Schizosaccharomyces pombe: one gene and its partner. The gene in region 1 interacts genetically with each later gene. Each region holds a gene or a part of one and is shown in the gene's direction. Other genes may lie near its edges.

Region 1 (3,758 bases):
ATTATCACTTTCGCTATCATGAAAAAATGATCGATTTTCTAAGTGGTTTTTATGTCCTTTGAATGTGAGGAAGCTAACATCGTCATCCAGTGAACAAGGGACATCAGTTGGAAAAAGAATCGACGGGTCTTTGGACCTTTTGCAGCATGATAACAGTGCACGTTCTATTTCTTCCCACTCTGCAGCGCTTTTTTGAGATTTTCTAGCTAATAAATAATTAATCAATTTTGGAAGTAAGATTGGTACCGGCAAATTATTTAATGATGTATCAACTAGTCTGATCTTCTTGTTATGGTAATGAAAAGCATGGCACAATTGGTTGGAGCTCAGAAGTGCTTTCAATCCCCCAGCTAGAGAAACAGCCAACTTATTAGGGGTAGAAATTTTCCTCAAATTGTCAGTTTCATCTTGGAATATTAGTAGATTAGCCTCTTTAATTGAAATTTCTTTGCTCTTGGCCTTTGCGTAAGCAAACAAAATTTGTACAGGTTTTAACAATAATTTGGCAAATAGCATTTCACGAGTGATATTTTTAAATAAAAAAGTAAAAATTCTTTTTAGGCTTTGCTTTTAATTAAGGATCACAGAATAAATAAAGGGTATGCCGCTTTTAAACGATTGAAACATTAATTAACGAAACCTTTGAAAGAATAAATAATTTGTCGAATTTTCTTCAACGAGCACATTAAGACAGTTTTGTTTTATTGACTTAAAAAAGACATGTATACTAAATTTATGTTGAAGACATTGAGTAAGTAGTGCATTGGTATGGTTATGGAGTAAGTGATCCTAGGAGGAGTACCAATCTTCCAGTCTCTTATTAAACGCTCGCTAGAGCATGAAGCAACCTATGCGTCGTAGCATTTGCTTAAAAATTTGGGTTTTACATGTATGCCGTTCATGTATAAACCTAACAGTATGCCGAATACAGAGAAGTTGGATTTTATAGTTAACCCAAATTTGCATCCTGTTTAGTAACAAATTTGTAAAAATTGTAATTTTATTGACAAAAAATTATTTACAAGATATCAAAGATATTGATTTGGCATTTGTATACGATAGAGGTGTCAAGAAACGAAGCAAAATGTGTAAGATTTTGACAAACTACTCCACGAGTTATACAACCATTTATTTTGATAACTAACTTTTGGAATGCTAGTATTATTTAGTTTTGGAGTCAAGAACCAAGACTTCATATGTTTCTCTATTTGTAAGTTTGCATATGGTATATTAATATGCTTTGATAAAAATTAGAGATATTATCCACTATGAAATTCGCTTCCATTTATTGCTAAAAAGGTCCCAATTGTTATTGGTTTTTTTCCAACAAAAAGCATAAATTGTTTGACGCTAAGGTGATTGCTAAAATTTGTCCAATGGCATGTGCAAATTGAACACACTTGTCGACTTCTAATCAGCAGCAAAACAGAGAATAATTAGCAAAAATTGCTGTTTCTATAAAGTCCATTCCCTTTTCCTACTGAACTAAAACTCGTTTTTGAATAAACTAGCGTATTGAGCACTGTCAGCTACGCGTAATGTAACCAATTTTTAAAACTGTGGTGGTAGTTTTATTTGAAATATACAATATTACGGTACGCAGCAAAACGCGTACTATATTATAAAGATTCTCGTAAATAGGTACTATTTTTACTTATCAGCAGAATAGCTTATAATTGTACTGAAAAACAAGGTTAAAGCAGTTTCCGTTAATTTTTTCAGTACTCAAGTATCAATGGGTAACTTTGTATTAAGATAAATAGCATTTCGCAATTATCATTAAAAGGATCTTTCCTGTTATTCCAACACAGGGCATATAGTGATACGCAACGTAGTAAAACGCAATATTAGTATATTATCGTTCGTTAAATATGGAATGATGCATCGCTTTAATATTACTTATCGAGGGTTAAACATTAGATTTATTGTCTAAAGTCTGACAACAACGTTTCAAGGGCATCACTGTTTCTTTTTTGGTAAATCAATTAGCAACACGATATTGTTAAGCCACCTTCAAGCAGCCTTACTGAAATCCGATTAGCGAGGTACTAATTTTATTCGACATATCCGAGTAAACACTACACTACCACAGCACATACCATCAGGTTTGTAACCGCCCATTCGTAAAATTGTCTATTTAGTGGATCCATAGTTGATAATGGATCCCTCATTGATTAAAGTTGTCAATCAACTTCAGGAGGCTTTCTCCACAGTTGGCGTTCAAAACTTGATTGACTTACCACAGATTACTGTATGTTGTGAATTTTAACTTAGATTGAAAAATTCACTAATAAATTGTTAGGTCGTACGGTCACAGTCAAGCGGTAAATCATCGGTTTTAGAAAATATTGTTGGGAGAGATTTCCTTCCTAGAGGAACCGGCATTGTAACAAGGCGTCCTTTGGTTCTGCAGTTAATTAATAGACCTAGCGCTAGTGGAAAAAATGAAGAAACAACTACTGATTCAGATGGAAAGGACCAGAATAATTCATCTGAATGGGGAGAATTCCTCCATCTTCCCGGACAAAAGTTCTTTGAGTTTGAAAAGATTCGTGAAGAAATCGTTAGAGAAACAGAAGAAAAAACAGGAAAGAATGTTGGCATTTCTTCGGTTCCTATCTATCTTCGTATTTACTCTCCTCATGTGCTTACTCTGACACTAGTAGATTTACCTGGTCTTACAAAGGTACCGGTTGGTGACCAACCTCGAGATATTGAAAAGCAAATTCGTGAAATGGTTTTGAAGTATATATCTAAAAACAATGCCATTATATTGGCTGTAAACGCTGCCAATACTGATTTGGCAAACTCAGATGGTCTCAAACTTGCTAGAGAAGTTGACCCCGAAGGTCTTCGCACTATCGGTGTATTGACCAAGGTTGATTTAATGGATAAAGGTACGGATGTGGTAGATATTCTAGCTGGACGTGTTATTCCATTGAGACTTGGGTATGTTCCAGTCATAAATCGCGGTCAAAAGGACATCGAAGGGAAGAAGTCTATTCGTATAGCTCTTGAGGCAGAAAGGAACTTTTTTGAAACGCATCCTTCCTATGGTTCTAAAGCGCAATACTGCGGTACTCCATTTCTAGCTCGTAAACTAAATATGATATTGATGCACCATATTCGGAACACCCTTCCCGAAATTAAAGTTCGTATTAACGCTGCTTTAGCCAAATATCAGGCCGAACTACATTCTTTGGGGGACACTCCTGTTGGCGACAACTCCAGTATTGTACTAAATTTAATTACTGACTTTTGCAACGAATATCGCACAGTTGTGGACGGCCGTAGTGAAGAGCTTTCTGCTACGGAGCTTTCAGGAGGAGCTCGTATTGCGTTCGTATTTCATGAAATTTTTTCGAATGGTATTCAAGCAATTGATCCATTTGATGAAGTTAAGGATTCGGATATTCGCACCATTTTGTACAATTCATCTGGCCCTTCTCCTAGTTTATTTATGGGTACTGCTGCATTTGAAGTTATTGTCAAGCAACAAATTAAGCGTTTGGAGGATCCTTCCTTGAAGTGTGTTTCCCTCATTTACGACGAACTTGTCCGTATTTTAAATCAATTGCTTCAACGTCCCATATTTAAACGTTATCCTCTTTTGAAAGATGAATTTTACAAGGTTGTTATTGGTTTCTTTAGAAAATGTATGCAACCCACTAATACCCTTGTAATGGATATGGTTGCCATGGAAGGTTCTTATATAAACACTGTTCATCCAGACTTTTTATCTGGACATCAAGCAATGG
Region 2 (3,758 bases), on another chromosome or scaffold:
CGATGAAAAAGTTTTCTTTAAGTTCTTCTTCCAGCCAAATTACCAAGGAAATTAGAGACATAAATTTTAATTGCATAGGCCCTTATTTAAGCAAAATTGCTCGAAAACTATCCAGCGATTTTGAAGGTCGACGTCAAGCCAAAACTGTAAATCAGATTAGAGACTTCGTTTCCAAACTGGGTTCCTTACAATCGGAGCATACATCATTAAATATTCGTAAGTATTTTTTTCTTTTGATTTCCATAAAAAATTTTATTAATTAGATAGACACTGGTCTCGCTGAAACTTTGGTGCAACACACAAAAAATAATTACTTTCAAAAGCTACTACAACTTCAGCATTTGCTAGTTTCTCATGCCGATTCTTTTACTCAATTCAATTTATTAGATGAAATTATCTATGCCGAAGCACCTGTTGAAGAGGTTTTTCGAGTACTTTGCCTTGCAAGTATAACTACCAATGGTTTGAGAAGAAAAGATATAGATCATTACCGTAGGGAAATCACTCAAACATATGGTTATTATCACCTTTTAACATTCCAAGCCTTGATAGATGCAGGACTATTGCGCCTCCGGCAATCCACTAATATTTCACTTCAAAAATCATTGTCTTATTCTACATGGTTAAACACTTATCCTTTGGTTAAGGACGAAGTTGATGAGCAGAATCCTGAAGATATAGCCTATACGTACAGCGGGTACGGTCCTTTGTCAGTCCACATAGCATATGACATTTTAAAAGGCAGAGACAATGAAGAAAAAATTCTTAAGTTGCAAAATATGCCTGGAACTTACGTTGACAAGTGGACATTAGACCAGGAAAAGGTCATGCCTAAAAATTTGAAGACAAACGTACCAGGTAAACGTCGTGTTTTAGTTTTTTTCATCGGTGGTTGCACGTACACAGAGCTGGCTGCATTTCGTTTATTGCAAGAAAAAGAAGATTTATATGAATTCACATTTATGACTACGGGAATGGTAACTGGAAGCTCTCTAATAAGAGCTTTTATTCCAAATATTGAATCTTTGAATGAGTGATGATCACCCAGTTTCATTAATTTGTTCAACAGCTAAAGACGATATTTAATCTCATTTTTTTTCACTAAGAGAATCCCATAATTTTAATTATTGTTTTTTTTATTAACCCACTTTATTAAGTCCTTAGTAGTTTATGAATTTGAAGTGGCATTAAAGCTTTCCCTATATGCTGTTAAGCTATTTGCTATTTACTGCCAAAATATTAGCTTACATATTAAATAATAAACCTCCAATATTTGGCAGCTAATGGCTTATTGTATCAATCAAATCACCTTTTTTTTGTTTTGGATATTCAGTGGCTTTTGGTATTGTTTACAATAAATGTAAAGTTAAAGCTTTCAAAATTATTAGAGATTACTTTTCTCGTACTGTTAATGGGTTTATTTTGAAATATGCACATTTATAGCTTTTTGCTGCAAGCTTCGTAACATTAAATTTTATTTTATTTGAAAATTCCAGTTTCTCATTTAGCTACTAATTTTTACAAACATTAATTGTCAATATTTGGTTGTCATGACAACGAGTGTACGTACTCAATATTAATCCTTCTTTTACTGTATTATAGATGTATGCAAACAATTCACAATGTCTTCGTCTGGTAAGGTTTCACGTAATTTAACAACATTTGCAAAATTTTTAACAACTGAAAAGATTCAGATTCCGTGTCTTTATCCATTAGAAGGAGGCAAAGACGCGGTTCATCTAAACGGATTAGTATGAAGGAGTCGGACGAAGAGAGTGATAGTTCTGAAGTATGTTCACAACATAATAATTAAAGATTGTTGACTAATTGTTTAGAATCATCCTCTTAGTGAATCGTTGAATAAGAAATCCAAATCCGAGAGTGATGAGGATGATATACCGATTAGAAAGAGACGTGCTTCTTCAAAGAAAAATATGTCCAATTCAAGCTCTAAAAAAAGAGCTAAAGTAATGGGAAATGGTGGTTTAAAAAACGGAAAAAAAACGGCGGTTGTAAAAGAGGAAGAGGATTTCAATGAAATTGCAAAGCCCTCACCGAAGCATAAACGTGTTTCTAAAGCGAATGGAAGTAAAAATGGCGCGAAGTCAGCTGTTAAAAAAGAGGAAAGTGACACAGATGATTCAGTTCCATTGAGAGCTGTTTCGACTGTATCTTTAACTCCTTACAAATCAGAACTGCCTTCGGGAGCTTCGACCACGCAAAATCGCTCACCAAACGATGAGGAAGATGAAGATGAGGATTACAAGTGGTGGACTTCAGAAAATATCGATGATACTCAAAAATGGACTACATTGGAGCATAATGGTGTAATTTTTGCTCCACCCTATGAACCTTTACCAAAGAACGTCAAGCTAATTTACGATGGAAACCCCGTAAATCTTCCTCCCGAAGCAGAAGAAGTTGCTGGTTTTTATGCTGCAATGCTTGAAACCGATCATGCCAAAAATCCTGTATTCCAAGATAATTTTTTCCGTGACTTCTTAAAGGTCTGTGATGAATGTAACTTTAATCACAACATTAAAGAGTTTTCTAAATGTGATTTTACCCAAATGTTTCACCATTTTGAGCAAAAGAGGGAAGAGAAGAAGAGTATGCCGAAGGAACAGAAGAAGGCAATAAAGCAGAAAAAAGATGAGGAAGAGGAAAAATATAAATGGTGCATACTTGATGGGAGAAAGGAGAAGGTTGGTAACTTTCGTATTGAACCTCCAGGGTTATTTCGTGGTCGAGGTAGTCATCCTAAAACTGGTTCTTTAAAGCGTCGAGTATATCCTGAACAAATTACCATTAATATTGGTGAAGGTGTACCCGTTCCAGAACCACTCCCTGGGCATCAATGGGCGGAGGTAAAGCATGATAATACAGTGACCTGGTTGGCAACCTGGCATGAAAATATAAATAATAATGTCAAATATGTCTTTTTAGCTGCAGGAAGTTCTCTAAAAGGACAGAGTGACTTAAAAAAATACGAAAAGTCAAGAAAGCTTAAGGATTATATTGATGATATCCGTAAAGGCTACCGGAAAGATTTGAAAAGTGAGTTAACGGTTGAGCGTCAAAGAGGAACTGCCATGTATTTAATTGATGTTTTTGCTTTAAGAGCAGGAAATGAAAAGGGTGAAGACGAGGCGGATACTGTTGGTTGTTGTTCACTGCGATATGAACATGTTACACTGAAGCCACCACGAACAGTCGTTTTCGATTTTCTTGGTAAAGATTCTATTCGTTACTACAACGAGGTTGAAGTTGATCCCCAAGTTTTTAAAAATCTAAAGATCTTTAAACGTCCTCCCAAAAAAGAGGGTGATTTAATTTTCGACCGTCTCAGTACAAACAGTCTTAACAAATATCTGACTAGCCTTATGGATGGACTTTCAGCTAAAGTATTTCGTACCTACAATGCTTCATACACCATGGCCGAGGAACTTAAGAAAATGCCTAAGAACCTCACCCTTGCAGACAAAATACTATTTTATAATAGGGCAAATAGGACTGTTGCAATTTTATGTAATCATCAACGTTCCGTAACCAAAAATCACGATGTTCAAATGGAACGGTTTGCCGAAAGGATTAAGGCATTACAATACCAGCGGATGAGACTGCGAAAAATGATGCTGAATTTAGAGCCCAAGCTTGCTAAAAGCAAGCCCGAATTGCTGGCTAAAGAAGAAGGCATTACCGATTCATGGATCGTAAAACATCACGAGACACTTTACGAACTAGAAAAAGAGAAAATA

The links. A genetic interaction does not mean that the proteins touch.
Region 2: mutations in vps1 (region 1) and top1 together harm fitness less than expected from each alone (positive genetic interaction), as found in Schizosaccharomyces pombe (one large-scale study listed by BioGRID).

Annotation. Positions count from the first base shown.
Region 1 is NC_003424.3:1,997,743-2,001,500, reverse strand, and holds the start of vps1 (dynamin family protein Vps1), read left to right. Parts: upstream 1-2,085; 5' UTR 2,086-2,158; coding exon 2,159-2,251; exon of another isoform or gene 2,252-2,302; coding exon 2,303-3,758. Other genes in the region: poly(A) polymerase Cid16, read right to left, coding at 1-516.
Region 2 is NC_003423.3:2,942,445-2,946,202, reverse strand, and holds the start of top1 (DNA topoisomerase I), read left to right. Parts: upstream 1-1,606; 5' UTR 1,607-1,622; coding exon 1,623-1,635; exon of another isoform or gene 1,636-1,688; coding exon 1,689-1,789; exon of another isoform or gene 1,790-1,835; coding exon 1,836-3,758. Other genes in the region: HOPS/CORVET complex subunit, vacuolar sorting protein Vps33, read left to right, coding at 1-216, 268-1,037. UniProt on the Schizosaccharomyces pombe protein: Releases the supercoiling and torsional tension of DNA introduced during the DNA replication and transcription by transiently cleaving and rejoining one strand of the DNA duplex.